Schizosaccharomyces pombe: one gene and its partners. Changing the gene in region 2 together with the main gene of any one other region gives a genetic interaction. Each region holds a gene or a part of one and is shown on either strand. Other genes may lie near its edges.

Region 1 (4,167 bases), on a different chromosome or scaffold from region 2:
TAATTATTTTATTAATATCAATGTCTTTCAAAAAAAGGTATAATTCATACCGGCAACTAGGCCTTCTAACATGTTTGTTGGCTCTTTGACACTGAAATTAGGTAAAAGGCAGTTGGCATCCGACTTGGTGAAAGTTAGCAATGCAATTGCGAATAGAGGAATGTTTTGTTGAAAAAGAAAATCTTTTTATTCCATTTATACATTTAACAAAATTATTCAATATAAAAAGAAAACGATTATGAGAAGAGGAAACTTCATTTCCGTATAACGCACCTTTTTATCATCAAACGGATTGAGTCTAAGTGAAAGGAGTATTACTTTACTTATTTGAACAAACTAAATCTTTTTTTTTTATTAAATCAGTTAAATTAAAATCCTTCAAATGTACATAGGACTTGTTTACGGCGCTAAGTGCCACACCATTGAATGCGTCAACAAGTCAGCTTTATCGAACGATAAGTAGGATACTTTGCTTAACTAGTTTTGATTGCGAAGCACATGATTATTATCAAATTTAAACATACTTAATTGTTCATAAGCAAATTTATTATAAGGCAAAATGAGTAAGACGGATAGCTGTTACAAACTTAAAGAATCGCTGTAAAATTAATTCATTAGTTAAGTCAGAAACAAATACTGAATTAAAAATATTAACCGAATATGTAAATTCTAAAGAAAATGAAACAAACGAAGAGCGAATGTGTTATATTATCGCTTAGAAAAAAAAAAAAAAAAAAAGAAAATACATTAGAATAGATAACGAAAGGCAAGAGTTTTAACTAGGCTCTGAAAAAAAAAAAACACTCTTGACACCGTACCAAAAAGGAAATTGTGTGTCAAAATTGAAGTAAAACGTGAAGGAAATTAGGAATTATCGCGGGGAATGAGGATGCTTGAAATTAGTCTTGATTTTCACTGAGGCATCCCATTTCTAAAAGGTCGTTGCGGATGTCATCAAAAGAAGCTGTTTCGATAATAGGTGCTGTCGGAAACCCAGCAAAACTATTAAGCTCACACAAAACTGCAGCTTCATATTCAATTCGTTGCTTCTGTAACAAGGCACTTTGGCGATATGACATGGTTTTTTGAGTAATATATGTGGGATCGTGAACAGATTTTTGTTTGTTTAAAAGCTGAAAGCACTTCGTTGCAATTTTGGTTAGAAGCGCTTGTCGTATTCTTCTTTTATCAAACAGTAACTGATACTTCCTCTGTTTCGTTACATAGTCCATTACGTTTTTTATATTCCCAAGTTGTTTCATGAGGTTTTCAGTAGCTAAACGCACACGATCATCTCGCCGCTCTGTTATAAGATCAATGCAGGCATTAAAACGCTCATGGGTTTCGTTTTGTATCATTTCCTCATGCTCGTTCAGCTTTAACAGTTTCTTCCCATATAAACGGTTTCGTAAAAAAGTAAACTCCGTTTCTATATTTAGCAAAGCATCAAACGCTTCTTTCCGTTTTATAGCCTTTTCATCGTCAGCTTCATGAGCCTGTTCAGATGCGGAACGACGATCTGCAATCTCACGATCGGATTCCTCTTGGCTGGTCTCAAGAGCTACCCTTTTTATTTTGCTCTCACTGTTAGTAGACCATTTTCGAGAAACTGTTGCACGTTTACGCTTTCGACTTCCAACGCCACTTCGAGGACCACCTTTTCTGGGTGCTTCTAAAGTTCCACCTCTTTGTGGTATCTGGTGGTCAGAATCTTCGGTTCTTTCAATATTCGACTCTTCGTCTTCTTCCTCCTCATGCTCAGAAGACTCCTCAAGTTTCGAGTTGTGGTTAGTCTCTATGAGTCCATTGTTGTCATTGGTAGCTTTTTCTTCAGACTCAAAGTCAGATTCCTTCAATGAAGGACTAACAATGGTTATATTTGCTGTGTTTTCCATCTGAGGTTCCACAGAGTTGTTTACCAGTATGGTTCTGCCAATTGCACTTGAGTCACCTAAGTCCTCAGTGACTGATACCGAACCAACTAAAGATGTTTCTTTCTCTTCATCTTCATTTAAGACTACAGTTTCTGCCTCAGATACATTATCATGATCTGTTACCTCTAATTTAGGAAGTGACGCTAACTGATGAGTTGTGAGGGACGTGGAACTGTTCAGTTTGTTCACTGGCGAGTTTTTTTCAATGATTTCAGAATTTTGAGAAGGCAATTGAGGTGCGATAATATCCTCATTAGCATTGGTCTCTGGATTAGATAGAGCCGAATCAACAACCTGCTCACTTTCAGCGATCGAATTATTTATTCGTTTCTCTGAATCTTTATTTTTAGGAGAGCTTTTTAAGTTGTTCATTGGTAAATCAAAAGGCTCCTTAGGGAGTATTTCATGGGGAATTGATTCCGACTGCAAATTTTCGGTCATCCTGAATTAATTCTTCAACTTCGTTCAAAATACCCTCTCGTAATTTACAAATGTCAGAATCTAAAAAACAGTATCGTTGATTTTCGTGTGTTTTCATTCAATATGTATGTTTTCGAATGAATTGGTAGTGTTGGGGAGAGGATGACATTTGATAGCTGGGCATCAGTAATAATATTCATACTCAACTTTTACACATCCTGTAGGGACATCTCAAAATTTTGAGCCAAGAACTTAATAATTTGTTCTAAATTAGCACTTCCAATTTATACTTTTATCAAGAATGGGTTAGGTGAAATATTCTCAGTCAACTGTTACTCATCAATGAAACTTGGCGAATGAACCATCGTCGATCAAAGGCTTTTTATTAAATCAATCAAAGAGTCTCTATAGATAAACTCTATGCTAGTCTCTGAGTTAACGGCAATTGAAGTAATGATGGTAAAGCTTTTTAATTCAGTACAAACAATTCCATTTTAATTTCAATTTATACTTTATTTTATCAACTGCTAGCGATTTTACAATTATCTCTCTTTGGCAGCAGAATACTACCATGAACTGATTATTTAACTTATTTGAATATTACCGATTATAGGTGTATAAGGAAAAAAAATGTGATTCCTATAATCAGTCATTTTTTATATTTTAATAATCTTCCCTTCAATTAGAACTTTGAAATTTTGATAAATTACATTTTATTGGTAATAATGAATAAAAAAATGTTTCTTCACGTACTAGATGATCATATCCAGTTTATCATACTGTAAGTTCAATTCTATAGAATCCAAATAGGAACTGAGCATTAATTAGTCAATATTTTATTTATAAAATGAAAGAATTGATTATTATTACAGTCTTCATTTTGGCTAACAATTATTATTTTTCTTTCTCCCAGTCACAAGTAGACAGCGTCATTCGACGTTGACACCAATAGACACTAGTGACACGTAAATTTGAGCAATATTTTTGAACTGGTGCATTCTTTATTTTCAAGATATTAAAGGTTGACAGGGTTTCCTAAATTCTTTGAAACACCTCTTTTAGTAGCTGCTATACACATTTATTGAACAATTCCTATTTTCTTTATCAGGTTTGCCAGTGTTTTCAATCGAAAATACCCATTGTAATTAGTTTATTTATTTTTTTGATTCTTGATAAGGAAATGCTCTTCTGAAAGTCAATAATTGGTGAACATGATTAGTTTTTCTCACTGGAATTCTCACATACGTTCGGGACTTAGTCTAAGCATGATTCCTTCTGCAAACTCTCGTTTTGCTTTCATTATTCAAAGAAATTATATTCCTGTCGTTAACTCGCAGAACACAAGATGGAAAAGGTTATGCGGGACACAGTCAGTTTGGTCACCATACAAAAAAAAGCACGTACTGGTTAATCGATTGAAGCATATATCTTTATTCCCCAAACCTATATTTGCAAGAAAGTTTACAACCCGACAAAAAAGTGAAGACCAGAAGCAATGGAGGATACTAAGGATTACATTTCTTGTCCTCCCTTTTACGGTCGGAGGATTATGGATTTTATACAGAGTCAAAAATCGAAAGAATAATATTTTCTCCTTTGACGAACTTGAATTAGAAGAGAGAAGCAATCGACCTCGTTCTATTTTTGGAAAAATAAAACAATTTTTTAATATTCTCCTCAGGTCATTTAATTTATTTATTATTTTCTCTCCAATTATTATTACCTTACCGTTTATCGCTCTTATTTCTTTCCTGCATCTTCGATCTTTGTCGTCTTTAACCGTATCCATTTGGCTTCGTTTCCTCGTTACTCA
Region 2 (3,782 bases):
GTAAAAATATCAATCATTGAGCATGGTATTACCATTGTAAGATAAAGAGTCAGAACTTTTTCAAGATCAAGATCCTATATCCATAAAAGAAACCAAAACTAATTCCAGCTGTAATCAATAATGATCGTTGGGTTTGATAATTAACAAGAAATCATTAACATTAGATGTTTAAGCGTTGTACATATTCATATCCGGGCCATGAGACAGTAGAAAACCAAAGAAAGCACAAAAGCAAGTTAATCTTGAACTTTTATAACAGGATGGCTTTCTTTTTGCCATTGTTTGCGCTTGTATTTTTGGGATTCATTAGCTGATGGGCTTTTCACTATTACCACCAGTTTCGTTCCTTAGCATCTGCCACCTCCACTATATTGTTTATTTTGAAATATTATATTTTGAGGCGTGTTCTCAAATTATTTAGACCAGAAAATTTTTAACTTCAACCAAAGTTATTAATTTGCTTGAAAAGATTGTTCTACCACCCAACTTACATCAAATAACGAAAAACTGAGATTGACTTCTGGTGAAATATCTTGTTTCAGAAACATCAAATAAGGCTGGTCTTCGTATTTTAGAAACATAATTGAGGTGCTACCAATACTTTTTGACTGTAGGTTAGCTGCAATCAGGCTTTTCATTCATTGACTAAATTTATTCCTTGGTTTACGAGTCCAAAAATTTAGTCGCAACTTTAAATTTCTCTTTTTTCCCTTTCAAGATGCACATTAACGAAGAAACAGATTGGATCGATTTGGTCAAACCAGCGTTAGCAAAGAAGCCCAAAAAGATCGTTGACAATTCTGACAAGTTCCCTACGCCTCGAGGATTTCAACAGAAGTCGTTGGTTTCCAAAAACATTCATTCAGGAAATTCAGCTTCCTCAACTTCCATATTTGCTAAACGAGAGGAAGAATTACAAAAGGATCTCTTACTAAAGAAAGCATGGGAGCTTGCATATTCCCCCCTTAAACAAATTCCTATGAACGCTATTTTAGCATACATGTCTGGTAATTCACTACAAATTTTCAGTATTATGACGACTCTTATGTTGCTTGTAAATCCACTGAAAGCAATAACATCTACAGGATCTGCCTTCACCCCATTTAAAGGCACCCACCCAGGAACCCTTTGGCCCGCTATGGGTGCTTATATTTTATTCCAATTATTGCTTATGGGGATTGGAGTCTATAAGCTGCAAAGAATGGGATTATTGCCAACGACTACCAGCGATTGGCTTGCCTGGGAAGTCTCGAAGGTCTTTATGGATCGATCTTATGGTCCTAGTAAAACTGTTTTGTAAGAATTTCATTTACTCCAAAATTTTAAAGATATACGAGTGAAATCGTTAAATTATAGTACCTCCTAATGCCATTGCTTCTAGCTGACCTAGAAAATAATAAATTCATATAAAGAAGGAATGCTTGGAGTTCGGAAACATATTGTCTTCTGGATTAATAATTTATCCTCCATTATGCGGCATTAAACGTTCAATGCCTTTAATCGATATCATGCACGCCATAAACGAACCTCGAAAATACTTGATTATCCAGTTCTTTTTACCCATCCATAGTTTTCGAGAGCATGAAATTTTTGATAGAATACTTTCTTTTACGTCTTGATTATACTGAATATAGAAATATCAAATATTCTTCTTTGTTTTAACTATTATCAATAATGTCTTAGTATATTGAGTTAAAGAATTAGTGCTTTTAGTATAAATTTAATCTCACTCCAATATTGTTTTCTTCACCCTAGTGTAATAGCTGAGCTTAATTTTCAGGCACTTCACTGAGCGCCTGCTTCACATATTATCTACACTTACAACCGGTTTTGGCGATAAAGCCATTACACTTGGAAATTTTTACTGTTTGAAAAAAAAATCTATTAAATCTATAAAAGTAATCGTATGGAGAAGGAATTAGAGGAATACAAGAGCCAGCTTGCTCTCGTTCAAATTTCTCTTCAGAAGACTCCCCAAAACGAGGAATTACAGTTACTGGAAAATGATTTAAAGGAATTAATTAGCCTTACTGAAAACTTACTACAAGAAAGTGTAGAAAATGATAAAAATACGTTTCAAAATTCCCAAAATGGTGTTGCAGGTTTCAATACTTCAAAGCCAGTACATATCGACTTTACGCCTGGAAATTTAGTAATGGCCCGATGGGTTTCAGGAGATTATTTATTTTATCCTTCACGTATTACTGCTGTTTCAGGCTTCGGTGCAAACAAAAAGTACACAGTACAATTTCTTGACTATCCTGACATTGAAACTGTTTCCCTCAAACATATTAAGGCCATGCCTGAGGAAAAACGTCAGGAAATAGAAGGAAATAAAGAAATTCTCAAAAAATCTACCACTATACGTAGTACACCTGTTAGAGAGCCTACAAAAGCAATATCTGTAGCATCTATGTCTACAAGTCCTTCCAATTATGCGTCTCGTGCCTCTTCTCCAGATATGAAGAGTTCGGCGGCTGTAACGGCTAACGTATCTCCGATCCAAAATGTCGCTCAGCATGTTTCAACCCTACCAAAGATCTCTCCCATTCCTCCCTCTAACCCTCCACCTGTTCCTAGTGTTTCATACTCCCAAAAGCAGCAAAAACAACTAAAACCTAAAGCAGCACTTGAAGCATCACAAAATTCTTGGAAACAGTTTGCTGCTCGAGGTGTAAAAACTGGACGCGTTGGCAAACGAAAGAAGATTGGAGAATCTAGTATATTTAAAAGCACTGAAGATTTTCCTGGAAGGACAAACCCTAAAAATTTTGGAAATGTTGCGAGGTCTGGGCATCGCGAAAAGCACATCTATAATTATAGAGAAGACGAAGATAGCTGAGCAATGTGTCTTCATTTGAAACTTGGTATTTAATTAATAGGCTTTTAACAGCCGCTGTTTATGTTTTCATTTATATATTTTTTGGTGCAATAAGCATAAATAAGCTTTTTACAGATCTTTAACCTAATTTCTGATGAAGCTGTCCTGGTTTTCCATATTTAACAAATTGTTCGTCGCATTGTCTACAGCTATAAAACAATTCTTTTGTTGTTGTTGGTGTATACATTAGAGAGGAATGAGTAATTAGAAAAGAATTATTACCTTTCGCATCTTAAGAATTTAACAGCCATAGACTACTTTTTTATATTCACATCTGCATACGGTTTTATGAATAGCATCATTACTATTTTCTGATGCGAAATAGTCATTTCGTTCTTAAACAATAGATCCATTTCCCGTGACATTTGCTAATTGTATTCCACCAAAATTTGACTTCTTAGTTTACAATAGTTGGTGAAAGTAAATCGGTGGTGGTACTATCTTGTCTCGCCATGCTCTTTTAAATAACGGCAACTTATGTTTTTAATAGCATTGTTACATGATAAACTGAAATATTCTATTTGTCATTCGTATTCTATAAGAGGTATATAAAGCCGTATATGTTGAGGGATCATCCACAGACAGCAATGAAAACTAGCTCCTCTAATATACTAGTATTACAAAAAATCTAATTGTATGAAAGAAATCGGTAAGCATACAAAGGGCGGATAGATTTAATTTTGTTTTAATGGAAACATGTAACACTTATCATAAAATGTAGATACTATGCTAATTGAAATTTATAATGCAATTTATGTATGACCAAGTGATATTCCCTTAAATAAAGCTTAGATATAACACATTCTCGTCAGCAAAGCCAAATGCCAACGGAAACTAGATAAGAATAGTAACAAGGATATGAGGAAGTTAAATAAGGTGGATATAGAATATAATGAAACAT
Region 3 (6,933 bases), 760 kb from region 2:
ATACCCTTAGGGGCATGCAGTCCTGCTGATGACAAGTTTTCAATGTGTCCGGACATGGAGGCACAAAACCAAGCTGATGATTTGGCCGTTGAAACTCGCATTCAAATTTCCAATTTACCTTCTTCACCTACGAAAAATAATTGCTAATAACAGTACGCATCGTTGCAGTTATCTTTGCTTAGTTATAGAAATTTACCTTCCGTTTTTTTTTTTTTTGTTTTTTAATCATTATTTGTTTCCTGAATGTTTAAAACAAACTCGAAGTTTCGCTACGAGAATTTCGTTGGCATTCTAAAACACAAACACTTTTTCGTGAAAAATTACGATTATGAAAACGAAATAATTATTATAAAAACGAAACCTTTGAACAATTATTAACGTTCATTCGCACTTGAAACGTCTAAATTTACGACGGTGAGTCATTGTTTACGTGAAAAAAGCATTATACTAGTTTTAGTTTAAGATTATTCGTAAATCATTTGCATAACTTTTACGAAACTTTACAAGGCATAGCTAATATTAATACAAAAATTTGCTGTTGAGATACAATATACGTTTAAACATTTCATAGAATAATAAATAAAAACTAAAAAAAAGAAACAAATAGTGCCCAAAATGGTAAATAGCCACTTTCAACGAATGAAGTAAGTAAAACTAGCATGAGCGATGCAAGTTTGCAAAGTGTTATGGGTATTTAAAGTCGAGCAGACTTAGAAGTATTATTTTCGTTTGGCTCACGTAAGTCTTGAATTGATATATGCTGCAACGGAGGAACTGTACGAGCACTGGGTCTAGCCGACAAACGACTAGCTTTAGAGGAAAAGCTAAAACGAGCACCTGACGTACGCGATGCATTTTCGTTTTCTTCATTCGAACTAGATTCTTGTTGAGAACGTTCGTACTCTTCCTCTTCGGCTCGGCGACGTTCCTCAGCTTCGCGTCGCATGGCCTCTGTGCCAGCGTTTTCAATGACAGCATCGGGAAGACTATCACGACCAAGCCTTTTACTTCCAATATCAGCAACATCATCAAAAGCAGGCATCAGATGCCGTGTTCCAAGGGAAAAGTCAACACGCTTTTTAGAAACACTAGCGGTATCGGAATCTGAACTACCAGGAGGAGTAGGTTCGCGGTAAGGATATGCTTTTGGGTTCTTCAGAATTCCTCCGCCAACAGTGCTGTCGCGATGATTTTCAGTACCACCACCATCATTACCACCAGATAACTTAACACCCTCCATTGAACCATTGTTGAAGTTGACATACATAGGTGAATCCTTTGATTTACCAGGGCTGTTGAAAATAGGAGATACAATATCCAATTCCTGCATATAAGTCATCAATGCACACATAAACATATTTCTTCGACGCATACGTAAAACCTCGTCTTGAAAGTTATATTTATGAAAGAATACAACACACAAAGACATGGAATAGAGATCCGGTAAATCCGTAACTTCAGTTAGTAAGTCAGGTTTATAATCACGCTTCTCTTCTTTCAAAAAATCAATAATTTTGATTCGCAGTTGTTCAATTTGCTGAAGAGTAGTTCCAAACTTCAGGTTAACGGTGACTGGGTCAGCAATGCCATCACTACGACGCATGTTCAAAATCCAAAGGGTGTTCAGCAAACTGTTTGGAGCTTGAATGACTTTTCCAGTCAATAGACGAAACTCGGTAGACATGATGGAAATTTCCTTGACCATCGCTGAAGTGACTGTGCCATTGATCATGACATCGACACGATCGCCCACATCGTAAGGATGTTTCACAAATACGAATATAATAGAACTAAGTAATTCCTGTGCGGAGCCGGAGAACAGCCAAGACAAACCTAGCAAAGTAGTTCCAGCAGAGGTAAGTACACCGCTAAAGTTACGGGCAATCAAGTATAAGAAAATAAAAAGAGTAATGACAGCCACTATAAACATGCAAATACCATCAAGCTTAGAAATGGAATCGTTCAAGTCACGAAGTGAAGCAGAAATGCTCTTACGCTCTTTTCCAATTTCCACACATGCGAGTTCAATTTCTTCACAGGTGATATCACCATTTAGATCACGATCAAAAATAGAATAACATGCCTCTAAGGTGGCATTATCCACTTCACCAGTTTCATCGGTGTATACGGGAATAAAATCATCCAGTACTAAATCGGGATTCTCAGGATTCACCAATGCCTCAAATAAGCAACGAGCTAGAGATTGACAACCGCGTGTGGTCTTTAACAAGTGTAGCACAACACTTTTAGGAGAAGAAGATTTTTCGACCTCACGATTAGTAATCTCACCAGCCACTTTGTTAACCATATCCGTAGCGAAGTTGAATGCAGAGATAGCTTTGTAAGTGGTTTTATTCAATGCATTCTGAGCAACCCGAGCAGCTGCTGCGCGCTTCTTGCCATGTTGGTGATCAGCAAACTTAAAAACATCTGCTTGAGCACGATGGATAGCATCTTTGAAATCAAAAGAACGCTGTCGCGCATATCCATACAAACGGGCGAGTTCATTAATAGCAAACTTATTGTAAAGGATTCTAGATTCATATTCACGACGGTGAAGCGACATGGCGATCAACTGCATAAGTACTTTCTCCACCAAATTCATAATTGAGGTGATGAATAAAGTGATAAGTACATTGTTGGCGCTCTGTTGCCAAGGGAGTTTTACGCGTACATGATCAGGTACACCATAATCACCAATATGACGGCGGGTCATAATGGGAAGGAAACTGACATATACAGCTAACATCCAAAGGAACAATGTAATAGGAAACTCAAGGGCAACTGCCATGCATCTCCATTTAGTAACGTTGTTACTGATGAAGGAGACGAAGAAGGCAAAGAAATAAGGAATTACTTTGGCAGCATAGCGAGCAGCCCATATAGAGAGCCATATAATTTCCCACCAGATGGCCATCCACATCAAATCAACACCTCCAACGTGTAAATGGCGCTCATATTCATGACCTAGTTCATCACGGTAAGGAGGTTGTGGGTGATAAAAGCGACCAATGAATACTGGAATCAAGAGTAAAACCCCGAGAGGAATAATGTAAATGAGCGAACGAAGGTAAAAGCTTCGCTGTTGAATAAATTTGAATATGCGACCAAAAATAGTTACAGGATGGTCCGGAGCCTTAATAGGAGCTTCAGTACCAAACGTCACTACACCAAAGTTGTCTAAATGATTCTCAGCCTCTTGAGCGGCTTCTTCATTCTCCGCAGTACGTTCATAATCGCCCGACTTTTTAGACTTGGAGGTACGCATGGATTTAGAACGATGGGAAGAAAGGCGTCGCATAGATCCGCGAACACTTCGGCCGGTAGGACGTCTTTGCAAAGACTGAGAACCACGGACAGCCATTTCGGCATTAAAAATCTGATTTTCATCTTCCAAAGTCATGTGCGAGCGATATGAGACGACAGAAGCAATAGGCGATCGAGATCGCTCATGTTCAGGAGAGTGCGGCAACTGCCTTTGTTTGGATTCTGGGTGCAACTTTGATAGTTCCATTTCCAGGGACGAAGTATCACTAGTCCCAGTATGACCTTGATTTTCTGTAGAATGCTGGGGAGAATGCTGAGGTTGGTGAGCCTTGGCATCAGAGTTTTCGTTATCAGCTTGATCAGAATTGGGATCCTGATTAGTATACTCTGGCGGCATACCGTCTTTCGAGTTTGACCAATGATGGCGACCAGGACTAGAAGTAGGAGAAGTAGGAGAAGACATGATTAAAGGAGCGAGCGAAAACCGTAAGTATGAAGAATTTAAAAAATAAGAAACTGTCTGAAAAGGTTTAAATGAAAAAGGGAAAAGAAAAACAGACAAGGATGAATTGATTTGAGTTACCAGGAATAGGGAATATGATGAAAGGAATGAGAAGAAACTATCGTCCAGAGGAAAAGAAAAAATACACAAGAGGGAATAAATAGAAAACTTGACCAAACGTCAATAAAATGCAGAAATCCAAGGATGAGTAATGATTAAACACAAGTACAAGGAAGGAACTAAAAATGAGAGGAAAAACAAAAAAGTCGATAACTTGGGTACCTAAAAAAAAAAGAGATTCTAAATGTTTAAAATAGATAGCTTGGAATGGGGATGTGGTTGACAAATGAGGTCAAATAATCAATCGTGAGATAAACAATTTAACTCTAAGGAAAAAATTTTTGAAAGTAAAACCGCAAAAAGACCCCAACAACAAAGAACTGTAAAAAATACTTTTATTTTTTATTGCTTGGACAAATTTAGTATAAGATTAACAATGGCAACAGATGAAACAGAACTAATGAAACAACCTATCAACCATTCAGTATGCAACCAACAGTGTGTATAAGACAAGATGAGTAAAGATTGTAGAAAGAGAATGTTTGAAAAAGATCAAGTTGTTTAAATGTAAAATTGTTAGCACAAGAAGCAAAACGCCGCAAACCGGTCTTTAGAGTTGAGTTTAGATATAGAAAAAAATATAAAAGGAAAAAAAAAGCGTTGAAAAGTACTACAAAGAAATTTCACAAAGAGTACTGAAAACAAGCTGAAAAGTGATGATTATCTTTTATTGAAGCCGCGATTCCAATTCACTCAACAAAACCGAAAAAAATCAACAACGACCGGGAAAAGACAAAAAAATAAAAAGGAATGAGAGTCGAACGTTTTAGATGTTTAAAGTTGGAATGAAATGCGAGATATAAACAAATAAACCGTACTGAATATCACAAATAAAGCGCCAAGAACACAGAGCTAAGAATGTGAAGAAAGTACAATTTTTTTCTTCACCAGTAGAGGTTTAAGAGAAAAAGAAAATCTCAAAACTAGGGGGGAGAATTTCGATATATCTTTCTACTGGTGAAATAGGACAAGAATTGGTGGTTGAATGTATAAAAATTCAACACGTTGGTTATCTGCAGGTGGCTCAAAATAGATGTAGCTTTCTTATATATTGGACAGCATTATGATGTCATTGCACGCAAAGATGGGAAAGGGAGAAGCAGGAAAAATTTGCAATTCAGGAAAAGCGAATCACAAGCGAGCTCATTAAAGTAGCAATTGCGTAGGATCGTCGGAGACACATAGGGTACAGTAACGCAGCCGAGTGTGTAGAAAAAGGAAAGAGAAGGAGGGAGGGAGGGAAGGATGGTAAAGAGGATAAGATAAAACAAAAAAAAAGATGAAACCAAAAAAATAAGTAATATGAATGCTAAAGCTATCTCATCTAGAAGGGTCAAAAAATGAGCTTTTCTAATGAAGTGGGTCTATTATCGGAGACTTGCACATCATCCAAGATGACTTCCCATGACTTGCCTCGCAACGATATCTGCTCTTGTTATTTGCATCCTGTGTGTTAGCTCCAGCATTTTCTCTTCTCTTTTGCTTTATCGCCGAGCTATGAGTAGCGAATAACTCTATTCCTAATCTGGTTACGGCGATCTTGCCATGTCCAACGACCCGGATCCAAAAGTAACAATAAATAGATGAAAATGATGGACAAGTGGTACCCAAGAAATATGCTTATTCCATTAAATTATGCTTATACCTAGTTTTCTTGAGGATTCGTTTCTCCAGTGGTTTGCCTTTTCACTTTTTCTTATAGCAAGTCAACAGCATTTCTACTGTGTTTTGACCGGTTTTAACAGATCCGGTGGAAGGGTTTGGTGGTTTATGAAATCACATCAAAGTACACAGCGACGAGCGATCCATCGGTTTCACAATTTTCCTGGTTAGGGTTAAAGCGGAAAGGGAAGGGAAGGGACGAGATGATGGAGCAGAGTAATATGACGGGCGGCGAAGGACGACGTAAATTGAGATATGGATACAGATGTAGACGTAGACGTAGACTTAGAAAGGTTGTAAAAATAATCCGAGCTTGATGCAATGCTAGGGAAAAGAGGAACGCAGCATAGAGTTGAGACTAGTGCAGACAAGTATAAAGTGTGAAAGGGAATGGACGATGGAAGTATGGACTGGACCATAGGCAGCTTGCAATGTTTGTAGTTAACATTTCGAGTAAGAACAAGAAAATTGTCGAATTATCTAATCTACTTGGAAACTGAAATTTGAATTTTTTAATCAAAGCGGATTGCAAAACTGCAACATTGTTTATTGAAATTTTTCTCTACCCAATTTCGCCTGTAATCCAGGCCGTACACAGAGGTTGATAAACTTTCGAACTCATTACTATAGCGATAATGAGAGTGATTTTCGAATCCTTGCTTACTACACAGTAAACTTCACTATTTGGTAAACAATGTCTTAAGATGACTGAGCTGGATAGAAGAACAGAATGAGAGAAGTGAAGAGGAATAAAATGATTTACAAAAATCACTATTTTGAAAGTAAGGAAAATTTAATTCCTGCAAAAACCTGATCTGGTCAAATTGAACATCATTATAACCGTAATTCCGTGCCAGCAAGTTTTTGGCTTTCATTCCTTTTAGATGCGCGAAAATGATCGATGATATCAATTTCATTTTCTTCCTAAAATAGTTGAAAATGTCCTCATCCTACAAGTAGAGGAATTAATGCAAAAGATCATAGTGCCTGTCGTTATGCGCAGGTTCGCATTGAGTAGACGCGACGTCTTATTTCACTGTCGGATAAGGATGTATTGGTTTTAATCACAATACGTATTATTACGCCGTGCACTATATAATAAACATTGAAAAAAGTTGTATAAATTAAAAATAAACCAAAAAAAGGCACGAATCGATTCGTTTAAAATTACTATCCAAGGTTTCTAATTCCAATAGATGTTTTTGGTGATCAGTCTAAGAACTGCTGTTTTCAACACTGCAAAAGTTTATAATTATAAATTGTATTTAAACCCTTTGTAGTGATAGGAAAATGCACTATACCGTACAAAGTTGACAAGCAAAGCAGCAAACATATTTCTTAGAGACAGGGCGCGCTTTCACAATCAATAATTTGTCAGGAAA
Region 4 (3,921 bases), on a different chromosome or scaffold from region 2:
ATCAATTGCCGTAGATACTCTTACCAATCGGTTTGTCAATTCTTTCAAGCAAGATTTACCTAAGTTTATAGCTGTTGGTGAGGCTATTAAGTTTCGAAAATCCATTGGAGGGGAAGAAAAGATTCAACAATATTGTCATGAAATAGCTTTAAAGGGAGCCGAAATTATTTCTAAAGAACTGGGCACTTCCTTTATCAAACCTCCATACCCAGTTGCAATGGTAAACGTCGAAGTTCCCTTACGCAACATTCCCTCCATAGAAACACAGAAAGTATTTTGGCCTAAATATAATACATTCCTTCGATTTATGGAATTTAAAGGAAAATTTTACACTAGACTTAGCGGTGCGGTGTATTTAGAAGAATCAGATTTCTATTATATTGCTAAAGTTATTAAAGACTTCTGCTCTCTTTGAATAACTATGCTTCACAATGCATCCTCTGACTCTTTTTATGTGACTCAAAGCACTTAAGTTATTTAATACTCACCTGTGTTTTAGACATTGCAGCACAATAGATTCTAAATCTTAAGAAGCCTATAACATTCGTTTAACTAGTTACTTATATTTTGCGTGAATCAATTATTACAACGTTCACAATTTTGGAAGAAAATGTATATTTTTACTTGAAGCACTTTAACGTTTCAAATGTACAAAGATGCAAAACTATTTTTAACAATAGGCCCGAATGTATTTTTGATACAAACGGAAAATATATAAGGCACAGAACTCCAAGCAATGAATATAGTCTAGTCTACAAAGCTGCAACTTTTTACCAGGAACATGCATGGGTTCCATGCTAAGGGAGAGAACGTGACGTGCGGAAACATGAGGGTATTCGGGACATATATAAGTATAATGGCGAGGCTCATTATAAAAGGAACGAAGAGCCAGGAATAATCACAAATCATATTTTAACTTTTAGGCAGTTATAGCACTAGCAGTAACGCCTGATTTTTCTTCTGAGTCAACCTCAGATGCTTTGGGCTCAGTAGAATCAGACACGTTAGTGGGAGCAGATTCTGAAGCCTCAATAGGTTCGTTTTCATTTTTTTCATTTTCATCATTTTGCTTATCTTCACGGAAGACAGCACTTTTAACAACCAAAGTAAGGTCACCTACTTGCTTTCCATTCATTTCCTCAATAGCTCTGGATTGATCCTCAGCATTAGCAAAAGACACAAATCCAAAACCACGACCACGACGTTGCTCACCACGTAATTTTATACGGCGAATAATATAAGGAGGAAGGGAACGAACAGCAATACGAGCACGAGTAGGATTGTAAGCATCGAACATTTCTTTAAGGCCTTCATTTGTTAAAGTAACGGAGAGGCCTGAAACATAAATAGAGTTGGGAGGCAAAGGCTTAGCCTTGTTTTTACCAGACCCACCCTTTCCTTTGATCTCATTTTGTTTCTTATCGACACCATTTGCTTCATTACTTGAAGGAGCTGTTGCGGTATTAGCTTCATTTTCATCACTGGAGCCCTTAGCAGATTCAGCATTTTCGACAGAAGTTGAAGTTTCAGGTTCTTCACCATTTTTATTTTTTGACTAATGTGTCAGAATGATATTGATAAAAGCTTTGCGAACTAAAGTATACTTACCTTTTTCCTATCTTTTATAGGTTGCTCTTGGACAGGACGAGCTTTTTGAACAACAATCTCGCGATCATCCAATGTTTTACCATTCAATGTCTCTATAGCTTTGTCAACATCCTCCTGATTGTTGAATGTAACAAAAGCAATGCCAGAAGGTACGAGACGGGTACCACGGCGAACACGACGAAAAGGAATAGTTACTTTACGACTAAAAAGCATTAGTAGATGATCAAATATAATTAAAGTAGCACAGATAGTTTCGAGTAAATATAAGCTCGCATAGCTCCGTTTTAAAATCGTTTTTGTGAAAAATATAAAGTATGACTTCTAAAAAGTAAATTTTCAACAACTCCAAATTATGCACTGATTTTAATAGAGAGAGCTTTAGCTTTAGCGCTTAAACATAAGAAAATTTTGTTCTAACTCGAAATTGCTAAAACCAGTAATAGTTTACATACACAGTACCAACCGTTTCAAACAATGAACGGATTTCACTCTTTTTGGTAGACGTACTTAAACGCCCTACAAAAACACGAAAGTCGTCCGCTTGTTGAGCAGGTGTGTTAGATTGTTCTGCAGATGCATGTACAGCAGCATCTACAGATGCTTCAACTTGATCTTGAACAGTATTAGGAGCGTTTTGGGTTACAGTTTCCTCAGCGGACATCATTAAATTCGTCTAGGCGTTTTGTAGTAATTATAGTCGATATATGCTAACGGTAGGTTCCATCTGACGTTGGGGACAACATGTACACAACTCCGTTGCAGACGTGTGTGTATGCATACACCGAAACGTATAGAAAAAGAATGTCAAACATACAGCTTTTTAATGATAAGGATGATTTTTATAGAAAAATAGAATTATATCTTTTTTTCTATGTATTTATTTTACCCATTAACCCACATTTCTGACCTTAAGGAAATATTCGTTTTTGTCTCTGCATAGACATAGGATGAAAGGAAGAACCGTAATTGACCAGCTTGGGAGTTTGAGATTCCATAGGATGAGACATAAGAAATTTTGCATTACCTTTTGTTAAAGAGCTTATAACACTGTTGTAGTCGAGAATCTGCTCCAAAGGCACCTGAGCACGAATACATTTAATGACAGATGAACTCTGTAGTAGAGAAGAAGCATTGTTTGCTTTAACAGAACTAGGTTCATCAGCTGGTAGATATCTTTCACCTAATATTCCTATCGCTATCTGCGAGTCTTTCGAAGCAGCATTCTTTCCAATCTCTGTAATTTCTTTGATCGTGGCTCCCCGCTTGCCTACAAGATCTTTAGAAACAATACCAACATATTCTTCAGGAGTTGTAATTGTAACATCCATATAAGGTTCTAATATTCTGAAACTTTTGGGACTTCTCTTGTATAATGAAAATACTGCATTTTTGGTAGCTTTCATCGATGCTTGTGTCAAAAGTGACAACGGAAAGTCATTAGATAGAAAAGAAGAAATGGTACAAAATGACTGCAAATTCGTGAGAGGAAACCCATGTAAAGGCCCATGCGATAGACCTGCAACTATTCCAAAGTAGATGTTTTCTTGAATACGTTGGAAAGAGAGATGATCCGGTAAAGTACACGAGTTTTCCGGCTTCCAGCCATAAAACAAAACTCCATCTTCTTGCCCTTTACTTCGAACTTTTTGGATCTCACCTTCAGAAAAATATTTTTTCAAGGTTTCATCTCCTTCATCAGAAATAGGGATTAAGTAAACATTAATAATGAGATTCTCTTTATTTTCTGTGCTTAAGGTAACTGAATTAAAGCTTACATCAATCAAAGTTTCACGATAACCAACTTGAACTTTTCCTAAAGATGCTCGAGCTCCAAATTCAGACACCAGTCTTTCATAAGAAACTTGTAAATGCATAATGCCCATCCCTTGTATCAATAGTTGTCCATTCTCTAAATCTTGGGTATATCTAAATGAAGGATCTTCACGATTCATGTTAGCCAATGCTTCTAAAAGTGCGGGTTCATCTTTTAGCGAATAAGGTTCTATAGAAGCAATGCAAACAGGTTCAGGAATACTGATAACACTTTGATTTCCAGAAAGGTACTCATGAAAATTTTTTGAGTTCTCTTTATTAATAATGATATCTCCGGTATGAAATTGTTTAATCCCACTAATCACTCCTATGTTTCCAGCGGAAATGCAATCAACTTCTTGAGTCTGGTCAGCGAATACATTGTATAAACGAATTGCTCTTTCTGACTTTTTAGTTCTTGGATTAAACATCATCATTCCTCGGCTTAAAGTCCCTTCATTGACTCTGACATATGTGAGAATTCCCCTAGAAGCATGATGT

What was found.
Region 1: mutations in spf30 (region 2) and dep1 together harm fitness more than expected from each alone (negative genetic interaction), as found in Schizosaccharomyces pombe (one large-scale study listed by BioGRID).
Region 3: mutations in spf30 (region 2) and msy1 together harm fitness more than expected from each alone (negative genetic interaction), as found in Schizosaccharomyces pombe (one large-scale study listed by BioGRID).
Region 4: mutations in spf30 (region 2) and tcg1 together harm fitness more than expected from each alone (negative genetic interaction), as found in Schizosaccharomyces pombe (one large-scale study listed by BioGRID).

Annotation. Positions count from the first base shown.
Region 1 is NC_003423.3:3,798,632-3,802,798, forward strand, and holds dep1 (Rpd3L histone deacetylase complex subunit, Sds3-like family protein Dep1), read right to left. Parts: upstream 2,519-4,167; 5' UTR 2,376-2,518; coding exon 900-2,375; 3' UTR 554-899; downstream 1-553. Other genes in the region: vps1301 (lipid transfer protein), read right to left, coding at 51-72; cqd1 (ABC1 kinase family protein ), read left to right, coding at 3,566-4,167. UniProt on the Schizosaccharomyces pombe protein: Component of the RPD3C(L) histone deacetylase complex (HDAC) responsible for the deacetylation of lysine residues on the N-terminal part of the core histones (H2A, H2B, H3 and H4).
Region 2 is NC_003421.2:1,381,550-1,385,331, reverse strand, and holds spf30 (splicing factor Spf30), read left to right. Parts: upstream 1-1,787; 5' UTR 1,788-1,906; coding exon 1,907-2,842; 3' UTR 2,843-3,277; downstream 3,278-3,782. Other genes in the region: chaperone EMC4, read left to right, coding at 719-1,300. UniProt on the Schizosaccharomyces pombe protein: Involved in spliceosome assembly.
Region 3 is NC_003421.2:616,821-623,753, reverse strand, and holds msy1 (MS ion channel protein 1), read right to left. Parts: upstream 4,907-6,933; 5' UTR 3,731-4,906; coding exon 695-3,730; 3' UTR 532-694; downstream 1-531. Other genes in the region: transporter mug73, read left to right, coding at 1-147.
Region 4 is NC_003423.3:213,495-217,415, reverse strand, and holds tcg1 (single-stranded telomeric-binding protein Tgc1), read right to left. Parts: upstream 2,318-3,921; 5' UTR 2,273-2,317; coding exon 2,061-2,272; intron 1,895-2,060; exon of another isoform or gene 1,811-1,894; coding exon 1,609-1,810; exon of another isoform or gene 1,556-1,608; coding exon 920-1,555; 3' UTR 515-919; downstream 1-514. Other genes in the region: ergothioneine biosynthesis methyltransferase Egt2, read left to right, coding at 1-415; mef2 (mitochondrial translation elongation factor G), read right to left, coding at 2,517-3,921. UniProt on the Schizosaccharomyces pombe protein: Binds single-stranded telomeric sequences of the type (TG[1-3])n in vitro. Has a role in meiosis.